3 linked regions of the Oryzias latipes genome follow. The protein of the gene in region 2 purifies or fractionates together with the protein of the main gene of each other region. This does not show direct contact. Links are inferred from orthologs where the notes say so. Each region holds a gene or a part of one and is shown on either strand. Other genes may lie near its edges.

Region 1 (4,082 bases), on a different chromosome or scaffold from region 2:
TTCGTATGTTCAAGACTTTCTTTCATTTAATTAATTCAAGAGGACTTAAATACATTACAAAAAGAAAGCATTATTTTTAGTTTGTATGGAACAAAAGACGCAAATATTTTTTCTTCAAGAGAAGATGTGGAAAAACCAATGGGGAGATACTTTATTAGTTCAAATTCAACTTTATTTCTACAGCACTGTTCCTGCTACAAAGCATCTCAAAGTGCTTTTATTTAAAAAAAAGATAATAGTAACATAAAAAATAGTACTATAAATAGAAAACATAAAACAAAATAAATAAATAAAATCACAAGAAACCCGACACCCAACAATATTGAATTAATTGTTAATAAAATTTCTAAAATCAAATGAAAACATGTAAAATCTGTCATTTTTCTGATAATGATAAAGAATTTATAAATAAAAAATGCAATAATAAAGTTTTAAGAGCCTCCTTGACTGCTAAATTATTTCCTCTTCCTGTCAGAAGGAAAACTCTGTCCCAAACTTTCTTTAAAAAACACACATCAATGGGGGACCTTGCTGTGTGGAATTTGCATGTTCTTGCATGTGCTTCATTAATTGGTTAATTTAAATTGTCCCTATAGGTGTGAATGTGGGTGTGTGTGATTGTGGACACTCTAACCTGCGACCGACTGGCGACCTGTCCAGGGTGCCCCCTGCCTACTTTGAATTTCCAGCAAAGGAACGTTAATCCCAATAAACAAAATAAGATTAATGGATTTTCTGGAATGATTTATTTTAGGTGGCTTTCAACAAAAGCACAATCCCAAAATATTCATACCTTAACATTTAATTTGGTTGTATCAAAAAAGAAAAAAAAAAATATTACGTTTGTATTTAACACATTTTTTTTATTTCAGGGACATTTTGTATTTATAAATGTTGTTTTCTGAAAGAGAAGCCAGATTTTGTGTATTTCAAAAACGATCTTATGCTTTTAAATAAATCCCTCTAAAAGTCCATAATGAGAAAGCAATAACTCTTTAATTTATTAGTTTATGTGGATCAATGCCTTTGTTTCTTTTAATTTTATTTGACACTAGTTTTTTTGCTACTAAACTATAATATATGTACTTTTTATTATTTTATTACTTATTACTTTATTTTTTATCTGCTGCTTAGACTTTGTTCTAGTTTTCTATTTTTAACAAGCTACACTGCCTTATGCTTTGCATTTCAGTTTTTTATGTGAAAAAATTTGTAATTTTGGATTTTGTCAATAAAAAAGGTGCAGTTACCATCTCCCCGCTAGAGGGCGATAAAACAGTTTCTCATCAGCGAAGAGCAAGACGACGGCCCGTGACGTCGCATACGTCATCACGCACAGCGTGTAGCACAGAGGCAACATGGCTTTGAATGGAGGTTTGTAAACTTAACTGTTATCAATGTGCAAACTTTGACGTTTCCCCCGTCAGCCTGGTGTTTAACCAAAAAAAGGCATTTATTATTTTTTGATGGTATGATTCTTTGATCTTATTTTTGTGGGGCTACCGCCCCCGCTCTGTTTATAGACGCGTCTAGACATTACGGTTAGTTAGTTTGTAAGCTTAGCTAGCTTGTCATTTCCTCACGGAAATCATGTGGTAACATTTCGAAAACCAATAATAAAGAAAAAAATGTAACTTAAAAACGTGTTGACAAGGGAGGGAAAATATTGCTTTTTAAAAAACATTTTTAAGTTGGTCTAGTAGGGCTGGCATAAAGAAGATAAGCAGACTTTTTTCTTTTAGCACCGTTCAAGTGCTGTTGTTTCTAGCTGCGTCTGTTTAGATGCGATAAAGTAACAGTTTTTGACCTGCAGATGATGAAGACTATGAGTGGGAACCTCCAACAGAGGCTGAGATGAAGGTGATTCAAGCTCGCAGGGAGCGGCAAGACAAGATCAGCCGGCTGATGGGGGATTACCTTCTGAAAGGCTACAAAATGCTGGGGGACTGCTGCGATGCGTGTGGGGTGAGTTAAGGGGGAGTCTGTGTGGCTTTAAAGCGTGCAGAAAATGGTGACGTGATTCATTGTTTGTGGTTCCAGACTATTCTTCTTCAGGACAGACAGCAGAAAAACTATTGTGTCTCCTGTCAGGAGATGGACTCTGACATTGACAAGGATAATCCAGGTACACCAAACCTGTTCTCATATGAGTAATAGCTCCTGCAGCAGGGTTCTTGGGTCTGAAAATCTACAATGATTATCTTTAAAAGTCGTTAAAGACCCGCTCCAATTTAAAAAAAAGTGTTTTTGGTGTTATTAACACTCTTTTGTGGTATTTTTCTAAATATGGAGGGCATATATAAAGAAAATTCTGCTTAAAGTTGTATTTCTGAGTATTTTTCTCTATTCGCATTGTTATGACTCAGGAAATCATGAAAATTCTTAATTACAAAAAACTTGTAGCAGTGATGTAGAAGCTATAATGGGCAGGTCAAAAGCTCCCTGCTCTGCTCCATTCTGATGCGTCCGCTTGTAGACGACTAGAACCTTTTTACGTCTTTGTCCGAGCTGGAATCTGGCTAAAAACTGAACGACTGGACAGCTCCAATATTTCGCAACGATCTTTTTGCACCGGTAATGGTAGTTTGGGGATGTGAGGGGCTGTAAGCTAGGGAGAGAATGTAGACAGGCCCGACCACAAGGCGAAATTCGAGTGAATTACTGCAGCTCTACAGAAACTCTGTCCCAGAGAACAACACAGTTCTTTCAATGGCATAGTCATAATCAAAAGCTCACCGGGAATACTGTTAAAACAGCTCTATAGATATTCGGAGTGGATCTTTAAAACGAAGCACCAACCTTCTCGGTTCCAGCTGGACCAACCCCACAATTTGTCCCAAATGCAAACCAATATCATCCAAACCCAATTAAGTGATAGCTGCACCTCAACAACTGGACATTTAATGTGGGGAATCAATCATGGATTTGTACATATCATTATAGTATAGCCTTTCATCTTATTCATTGTATTTTATCTGAGTGTAACTTTCCTACAGTGCTCTACCCATGTGGTATTTGAGTTGGTTGTGGTTATGACCACTGCTAAATTTGAATTATCTGGTGAGATAGTATCTTGGAACAGTAACCAGCACACTAACATTATCTGCTGCCTCATGAGGAGCATGGTGAAGTGCACATTTAGCATGGCGTTGTTGGAGAAATTTCCCTGTATGCTGTGCAAAATGTTGTAAAATGGGTAATAAATCCTGTTCCAAAAACGACTTTTATCAAGCATTCCCTGTTGACACCCTATTTTGACTATTGGTTTTTAGAATTCACCCATTGTTTCTGCTTTCCTGGAAATTCAACTCTACTATTATTATTATTTTTACTTCAGCTCTGAACGCACAAGCAGCTCTGTCTCAAGTCAGAGAAAGGCAGCTTGCGGCACAGACACCTGAAGTTAATGACGGTCCCAGCAGCAGCAGCAGCAGCAGCACTCAAGCCAGCGGCTCAGTTCCTCAGCCACGACCAGAGCACTGCGAGGGAGCAGCTGCAGGGGGGCGAACTCCTCTTCCTCCTCCAGCTGTGCCTCCTCCTTCAGCTCCTGTTCCCGCCACACCTCTACCATCTGCTCGCCCCCCAGCCCCCCCACAGAGCTCCGTCTTCAGCCCGGTGTTGCAAGACGCCGAGGAGGCTGTTCTCACGAAACTTCGCTGGGCCACCGCCCAGCTTCAGAGTTCGGCATCTCTGGAGGCCAGCATCCAGCTCTGCAGCCTCATCAGCAGCTGTGCCAACTCCCTGCGCAGCCTCAAGGAGCTTAGCCAGTAACTCCAGTGGACTGATGTTAACCACGTAGTGATAGGAACAGTGTTTCTATTTGCCTCTCTTTAAAGAGGACTGACTCTGGTTTAGCTTTCCAGTCCGGCCAAACCTTCGCTTCCCGTTGAAGTCAAAACATCTGCCTGAAATCGGATTCATTCAAAAGTGGGCAAAAAAAAACAAAAACCTATTGTTTCATTTCTGTGTGATTATCTTAGACAAGTTCATCGATTATTCATAAAAGGTTTTAAAATATCTGACCAGTAAAATGTGAATCAGTGAAATGTTTTATGTATTGCGGAGAAAAGCGGACTTGTTTC
Region 2 (4,241 bases):
CGGGAGAGGATTTGAAGGTCTTTAGGATCAACAACGTTGCGTTTTTAAAGCATTTGAAATAACAACAAAAAATGTACCCTTCACTAAAACAATGTCTAAACTAAAACATTTAAAGCAAAAAATTCCTGGAAAATATGAGGAAAACTTGCAATTTGGGATATTAGTGCTTAATATTGTGATGAGGATATATCTTGCATTACATAAACAAATAGCAAAACAACTAAATATATCATTTCCATGTTATTGCAAGAGTTTTCATTAAATAAGAGTCAACATAACTTAAATTACACTTCAAATGATCTTTGTTTAAATAGGAGGTGCACATCTAACATGAAAGGGCTCCATCTGATTGGTCAAATGCATAAAGGGATTTATTTAATTCATTAAATAATTCAAGCTGCCATAAGATTGTTTAAGGATATTTAAGGTTACCATTTAGTGCAATTATTTATTTATTTTTTATCTTTTGCGATCTGCGTATTGCACAGCTTGATATTGTGATAATGATAAATTAGCGATATATTGTGCAGGCCTATTGTACACCATGTACTTATAGTGTAGAAAGTAACTGAATACTTACTTAGACTAACATGGAATATTTTAGGTTTACAATATATATATTGTAAACCTAAAATGTTCCGTGTTAGTAGTGTATTTAAGTTTATATACTGTCTATATTATAGATGGTATATAAACGTAAATACACTACTTTGCTGAGGGGATCCACAAAGAGAGCAGATTATATTTTTGTATATGTAATTAAAATTATGCTCTAATAATTTTATTATAGAATTGAATTGCAAATTAAAAGATCAAAAACTGAGTAATAGCTGAGGTGCTATTACTAACGCTTAAAGAAGGCTTGTATTGATGATTACCTAATCTTTGTCAGTAATTATACTAATATTGACTAATATGGGGGCAAGTGGGGTGGGGCCAAATTTTTTGTTGGGTGCAGTTGCCCCCCCAAAGCTCCGCCCCTGGTAGCACTGCGTTTCTGATGTTTTTTCCATTATATAACTAACAAAAGGACAGTTCAAGTTTATTTTAAGTGTTTTCATTCAATAGTTGAATATAAATCCACAGTGGACAGTGTCTGTCTTATCATTAATCTTCCAAAAAAATCTGAATTTGCTGAATTCTTTTCCATTTTTAATAATTTACTGAACGATTGAACATGACAGAACATGGCTTAACATTCAGCAAATTGACAAAAAATAAATAGTAACTTCACTCAAAAGATGCAAATACAGAACAACAGACGATAAAACAAAATAAACACAATATAATAATGCAAGGCTTATAGGATTTTAAATTAAGTCACTTTCTAAAATTTGTTTTTAACACCTTTTTGTTAGTTGAGTCACTTATGGTTAATATAAAAAATGTAATTATAAAACAAAGTCAGCTTTCCACTTATTTGTAAATGTGATATTTTGCCATTTATTTCGAAACAAGAATCTTCTTTTACTGTATTTCTAAAGAATTTCAAAGAAAATTCCTTATAAATATGATACATTCTTAAATAACTTTTGTTCATTGAATTTGCTGAAGTAAAGTGACCTCTTTCCCGCGCTAAGTATCCAGCGCGACTTTCGGCAGCTAGCACATCGGGCTAACGTAACGTTACTGTCGCAAAACCAGAGTGTCGTGATTTCTGGCCGCCCCCCTTGAACATGGCGGCGGAGCTGCACCCGCGGAGCGGAAAGCTGATCGGCCTCTCCAACTCGAACCGAACCGCCCGGCGAAACCAGCCAGTCCAAGAGTTCAACCACGGGCTCGTGCTCAGCAAGGAGCCGCTGAGGGACCGGGATGTCTTCACCGTCCGGATCGACAAGAAGGTAAACAAGCGCGGGCCCGATGCTTTGCATTCTGCCACCCCGAGCGCCGGTGGTCACTCAGAGCAGCAGTGGGGGCTGTAAGTGGATAAACCCGGCTCTGTTTCATCTTGCCACCCCCTGCCGCTCTTCGCGTCTCTACAGGCCGCCTACCTGTTGTGGCGGGGGACTGTTGGGGCCGCAGCGGCGGCGCGGTGACTCGACAACCGCACCCTCGGCTCGGATGTACGGTAAACTGGTCGCCGGGCTCGCGATAACCGTAGGTTAGTTAGCTAGCTAATGAGATGCTAGCTGTTGTTGACTTTCTAGAACGGGTGTCGCTTCTAAAAAAATGAAAACTGTCGCTTCTATTCAAACACAACAGTAGCACAATGGTTAAAAAATAAATACAAATAATAATAATAATAATAATAATAAAAATTAGTTTTGCAATTTTGAAAGAAGTCGGTGCTGCCCAGGTTTCCAGAGGGATGCTAGCAGCACCGCCCAGCTGAAGGGGCTCAGAGGATGTTACTGAACTGATCATTGTTGTTGTTGTCTCATTTTGTGACTGACAGGGTGGGTCGAGCCTTTTCACCCCCCAGCCATTTACCTTTTTAGCACCAAAAAGCTTCCATCCATTTGTAAACAAGATCTGCTTGGTGTCACAGTTGGGGCTTAAAGGCTGAAATTAAATAAAGACAGACATGTTGTTATTGGTGTGTAACTCTTGTGTGCAAATTGACCTAATGGATTCAATGATCTGGTTATTAAATGCATCAATCTGGGTTTTAAACCGACGTTGACGAGTTGAAATCTTATTTTTATGTAAAATTGATCAGCTGGAGTGAAAAGTAAAGAACAGACAGGGGTTTTATTAATTTTAACTTTGTCCCTCCCCCCTGAATGCTGCCTGCTAGAAGCTCCTGGTTTGGCTGCTTTATCTGCAGGCTGCCAGGAGTTCCCTCTGCATACGCTTACGGGGCTCCACAGACCCACTCTGATCATGCAAATCATGTTGTTTTTTTGAGTTTTTAACATGTTCTTGTGGCGTTTTTCTGATGCTGGAGGACATAGATAAAGAAAATGAAGCTTAGTCTAGTCTCTCTTTATTCAGATCGTTGTGAATCGGGAGCAGACAAAAAGAAACATGGTTTGAAAAGCTCGTATTTGTGATGTAGAAATTAAGGGTGGGGCCGCTCCATTCCGATGCATCTTTTTGCAGACGTCTAGATCCATAAACGTCTTTGTTTTATCTCGTCTCGGCTGGTCTCTGACTCCAAACTGTACATCTGGATTATTGCTTCATCATTTTTGTTGTGGGGGTGTGTGAAAGGCTGTAAGCTAGTGGGACAGAGTGTAAACGTGGAGCTCTCAGTTGGGGTGATGGTAAGGGGTAAAGATGATTTTTCTCCGTTGTTTATTGTCATTTTCTAAAAATGTGTGTGTTGTTTTCTGCTTGGCTTTTTATCTGTCTCCGTTTGCTGCAGCTTGGCTGACTCTGCTCAAATAGAAGAGCACAGTTACGGGGAAAACGTGATTCACTCGTGTGAAATCCAGTCCTTTTTCTTACTAAGCGTCAGGAGACCTTACAATCAGAGTAACGTCACGATCAGTCACCTTCAATATTTGATGTTTCAGCTTTTGTGACTAGCTCCTTTTTTTATATAGAAGTACAGAACTGCAAGGACTTAATGTGCTTTACTGCGTGTCATTTTCTGTCATTTATTTCAGTGTTTTGTCTTCAAAGATGCTCCTCCTGAGTATGAAGATGCACTGCAGACTAAAAATAACAGCAAAGCTCTTTTAAAAAAAGAATTAGAACTTGCTTTCATCCCGCTGCAGTTTTACACAAGCTTTATCACCGATTGCAGCCCCATCATTTTTAAATATTATGTCTCTATACTGTTGGAGCTTCATCACACACCTCCTCCCTTGCTAAAGAAAGCATTTAAAATGTCAGCAATTAAACCTAAAACGCGTAATGTTTGCATGCCTTCTTACTACTGATGGATATTTTATAATTTATTTAAAGCGCAAATGTTTTGCAATGTCAGTAAGTATTACTTTCTTCATTTTTGGGGGGGGAACAGAAGCAGCTTCGGTGAAGCGTGCAAAAACAAAAAATGAGAGAAAGGCGTCTGTCATTGTGGCAAACTTTATTTTTTTTTTTCTTTTTTTACAGACATTGTGTTGATGTGAACATTTGAAAGATAAAAAAAAACATTTCCTGTCATTATTTTGTAAAATTCTTCATTTACAAAACAATCTGGAGCTCGTTAAGATGCAGATCTGCTATATTTTTATTTTTAAAAAAACAGAAAATGTCCTTGTTGTTGTTCTCAACATCAGCCTCGTCTGAAAGAATATCAGCAGTTCAGGCCAAAATAAAGTAAAAAAGCTGCCAAAACCTTGGCTTCACTC
Region 3 (4,244 bases), on a different chromosome or scaffold from region 2:
ATCTTTTCAGTGTATATTTTTAAGTTTTAAGTGCAGAAAAAACCTATGTGTTGCATCTTTTTAAACTAAAGCTAATTTTAAAAAAGTATTAAGCATTGTCACTGAAACATTTTTTAACACTCACTAAATGTACAATGAAACTCTCTGGGGTTTTGTTAACAAGCTCACAGCACAGCCATGACAGTTGCAGATTATAGAGTGGTTTTTTTGTGTTCACCTGTAGCTGTAGGTCTTTCATCCAATGCCATTCATCCATCTTCTGAACCTGCTTAATACCTTTTGGAGTCACTGCGCTTCATTCAATGGTTAACTTCAAATTCAAAGTCCAAAGTCAGGTGCAGTCTTTTTCATTGTCTCTGGCTGGCTGTCAAATATCAGAGGGAACCAGAAAGGCAGCAAAATGAAGTTCTTGTGTTTCGTTCTCAGATGGCTCTGCTGAGTCTGCACGTGTCTGAGGTCATCTGCTCTGTTAGTTTTATGTTGATACAAACCACAGACATAACTTTAATTTATCTTTGCTTTTGAAAAATGAATGAAAAAAAAAAAATATTCTTTGACCATGTCATCTGGCCTTACATCTAAGTAAACAGAGTGAGGTTCCATTCTAATCTCACTTCAACGCAGGAATCCTTTTGGAAACATAAAAGACATAACATGAGAGAAGTTTAATGTTTCTATTTAAAAATGACAATGCAATGTAGATAAAAGACTAAACTAAAATGTCTGATAACTATCTGGAATGTTGTCAAGCTGTGGAACGATCATTTTAAAAAAACTATTTACTGTCAGTCAATGTTAGGTTTGGGTTGTGAAGAGCTGTAAGCTAGAAGGGGAGCATTTAAATCAAGAGTCTCCAACCTGAGGCTAAGGAGCCATGTGTGGCTCTTTGGTTTTAAAGAAAATGCTTGGACTTGAAAAAAAAATAGATTAACTAGTTGTTCGATGCAGTATGCATTTTATTTTGCTGTAGTTTATGGTAAAATTAATTCAAATTGGTATAGAAAGAAACATAGAACACGGTTATAATTTAATTATTGTATTAAAAGCAACACTTTATAAATAAAAGGTTTAATGACCACGGAAACCTTTTTAAATAAAAAAGACTATTTTCCCAAACGGTGAAGTTGGACTTTGCAGTTTTTTGGTCAGTAATGAGCTAGACTACATGGCTCTTTTAGCGTTAAAGGTGGCAGATGAGTCCCGCCAACAATTCAGAGGTGAATTTCTAATAAATTCCTGCTGCTCCGCAGTGTTCTAGAAAACAACAATGTTGAGGCTTTTTTGTGTGTTTGCTTGTTAATTTTGTTTATTTATTTATTTATTTGGGGGGGGGGGGGGTAATAACGGCATAATCATGATAAAAAGACCATTGGGAGCGCTTTATAGATCAAAAGATAATCGGGAGAGAGACTTGCAGGCCAGACAGGTAACTACATTTCCCAGAAAGCATTTCACCCTGTGACAGCCGACAGGCGCCTCTTGTGTGTCTGACAGTTAGAGTTAGCTAACGCTCGGTGAAAGCTAGCTAGCCCGGCAGGATGGGTGTATCAGATTTACACTTTGATACGAACGCTGGTGAGTTTCTTTATGGTTTTATAGCCAGGTGAACCCATTCAGTTTGTAATGTTTGTATCGTACGTGTGTTAAATCTAGTCGTTTAGCGCTCTTGACCGTTTTTAGCTCAGCAAACGTCCCGTGACTTTTCTTCATTGACTCTTTAAGTTGAAATATCTGGTGGTTGTTAGCTAGTTTGATCATCAAACTGGACATATTGGCAGACTTGTGTGGAACATCTGTACTGTAAACTAGTTTTCTTTTCAAACCTAACTCTAATTCTTTCCTCCTCACAATTGACTGTTATCTTAAAGATGTTGTGATGTCAGCAGCATCAGTTACAGTTGCAGTGGCTGAGTTGGCCAACGCAGGTTGTCAGTTAAAGCCTTGATCCATCATGAAGTGAACCTGGTGGCCATAGAATACATACACCCAACTTAAATGCACAAAAAAAACTATTAATTTAAAAAGTAGCTTTTAAAGATTTGCAATACAGTAATTGAATTTTACCAGTGTTCTGTTTTACTATTCATTCAATGTGAATTACTTTTACTTTTAACAGCAGCACTTAAATGTTCTTTTCAAAATAAAATACATACTGCGTCGAATAAGATTCTCCTGCTGCTTTAGGACATTCACTTTAATTAAAAATGTAAAAAAAAGGTCAAGTCAAACATGGGATTTTCTGACATCATGACTTTGATGCATAATCATCCTTTTACCGTCGAATATAAACATGACAACGTTGGTGTAGAATCCACTTTAAATTGCTATTATTTACATTAAAGTAGCTCTCCGATCATCTTTCGGTCACGTTTCAAAGCATTTCCAGTACTTTTAATTATGATTATGTCATTTTTAGGAAAAGTCAATAAACCTGTGTCATCTTCTAGGACATAGTTTCTGCAGAGCATCAGTAGATGTGGGCGGGACTGTTGGTGTGGAGTAAGCCCATTGCCACTTCCCATCACCCATCTGTTTACACCCTTTCCCGCTAGCTTACAGCCCCGCACAACCCCAACCCAAATTACTGGCGTAACAAAAATGGCAAGCAACATGGGAGCTATCCAGTCATATACTGTAGTTTTGATTCAAAGTCCAGCTCAGACGAGGAAAACAAAGACGTAGATGAATCTATTTGTCCACAAGTAGAGGTATCAGAATGGAGCGCAGCAGGAAGCCTGTAACTTGCCGTTGTAGGCTCCACGTCACAACACAAGTTTTTATAAAGAGCATTTATCATTTGCTCCTGATTCAAAATGATTTGAATGAAATATACTCAGAATTGCAATTTGAAGCTTAATTTCCTTCATAATTGTCCTGCCTCATCAGGAAAAAAAAACACCCAAAACACCATTTTTTCTTTGAAGTGGATCAACAAGGCTACAAATAGATCAGGTCAACACACAGGGAAACTCAGAGATTTCACATTCAGACAAGATTAAGAGAAGCTGTTTGGTGTCTTCATGTCCTTCAGGCTGGACCAATATAACAGTTCTGTCTGCTCTTTCAATAAAGACTATTAGAGATAGCATAGAGTCAGATCTGCTCAGGGCTCACAAACCCAACAAAGCTCTGGAACCAATCAGGTGGTAGGTAGACCTTTGAGTCAAAGGTGAAGCTACACACAGATTGAAGCAAGATGTCTGATGAACTTGAATGTTCTTCAACGATTTTTAGTTAAAGTGCTGCTTTCTTTCTGTTTCATTAATGGTACATTTGTGACATTTTTTTTTTTAATATAATGCCAACTCTTTGTTCTTTCTGTAAACCAGTGTGAAATGCTTTTATGTACGAAAAGAGAAATCCAAGTGTTTTGTCTTCTGACTCCTAAACCAGCAGGACCCGTGGTGGATCTGACAGGTCGGGGGGTGCAGAAGCTGGATCCCAGTTTCATCAGTTCTGACGACACTCACACTCTCATCTTGGACCGCAATAAAATCATGAAGCTGGATAATCTGGAACGAAGCCCCAGCCTTCAGCAGGTCACATTTTTGAGAGTGGTTCTAGTCTGATGACAGATGAACAAACACGTTCCCGCTCTGTGGTTTTGATGCAAACTCCTTGTTGTCACTAATTCAGCTATCCGTAGCAAACAACCGTCTGGTCAGAATGATGGGGGTGTCTCAGCTGATGCAGCTGAGGGTCCTCAATCTGCCCAACAACAGCATCGGCTACATTGAAGGACTGCGCGATCTGCCTCATCTGAAATGGCTAAACCTTTCCGGAAACAACATAAAGGTGAGGAGACGGGAGGGATTTCTACAAACCAGAAGAACCTCTCATCCAGAACAAAAATGGAAAAGAATTGAAGCATTCCTCAATTGGTTCAAATAAATCAGTGGTTTTCATTAAAACTTTTTAGTTGACTGCCACTCAAGGGGTCACAGTTTACGCAGACATTTTCAGTATTTATTGATGCTTACCAAAGTGTACAAGTGTACCAAAGTGCTTCATAATAAAAGAAACAGACAAAAAAAATGTTTAAAATCAGGCAAATCAAGGACAAATTTAAAAACAGCATAAACTTACAAAACGTTTTTAGCAATAAAATACATCAAAGATAAATAAGAATAAATAAAAGAAAAGAAAATGCCACCTGAGCATAAAAAAACATTCTAAAAAGGTAAGTTTTTAATTGACATTTGAAGCTATGGTCAGATAAAATACAGATTCAGCTACAACACGAG

What was found.
Region 1: the proteins of neurl4 (region 2) and sssca1 purify together in Homo sapiens (co-immunoprecipitation; 4 studies listed by BioGRID and IntAct, with this or other methods). This does not show direct contact. The link is inferred for Oryzias latipes from reciprocal best matches to the Homo sapiens genes NEURL4 and ZNRD2.
Region 3: the proteins of neurl4 (region 2) and cep97 purify together in Homo sapiens (affinity purification with western blotting; 4 studies listed by BioGRID and IntAct, with this or other methods). This does not show direct contact. The link is inferred for Oryzias latipes from reciprocal best matches to the Homo sapiens genes NEURL4 and CEP97.

The regions. Positions count from the first base shown.
Region 1 is NC_019872.2:7,955,538-7,959,619, reverse strand, and holds the start of sssca1 (Sjoegren syndrome/scleroderma autoantigen 1), read left to right. Parts: upstream 1-1,282; 5' UTR 1,283-1,358; coding exon 1,359-1,374; intron 1,375-1,388; exon of another isoform or gene 1,389-1,469; intron 1,470-1,813; coding exon 1,814-1,965; intron 1,966-2,040; coding exon 2,041-2,125; intron 2,126-3,337; coding exon 3,338-3,771; 3' UTR 3,772-4,082. UniProt on the Homo sapiens protein: Might play a role in mitosis. Antigenic molecule. Could be a centromere-associated protein. May induce anti-centromere antibodies.
Region 2 is NC_019876.2:14,650,547-14,654,787, forward strand, and holds the start of neurl4 (neuralized-like protein 4), read left to right. Parts: upstream 1-1,434; 5' UTR 1,435-1,676; coding exon 1,677-1,841; intron 1,842-4,241. UniProt on the Homo sapiens protein: Promotes CCP110 ubiquitination and proteasome-dependent degradation. By counteracting accumulation of CP110, maintains normal centriolar homeostasis and preventing formation of ectopic microtubular organizing centers.
Region 3 is NC_019879.2:10,883,715-10,887,958, reverse strand, and holds the start of cep97 (centrosomal protein of 97 kDa), read left to right. Parts: upstream 1-1,444; 5' UTR 1,445-1,538; coding exon 1,539-1,575; intron 1,576-3,393; coding exon 3,394-3,539; intron 3,540-3,636; coding exon 3,637-3,795; intron 3,796-4,244. UniProt on the Homo sapiens protein: Acts as a key negative regulator of ciliogenesis in collaboration with CCP110 by capping the mother centriole thereby preventing cilia formation. Required for recruitment of CCP110 to the centrosome.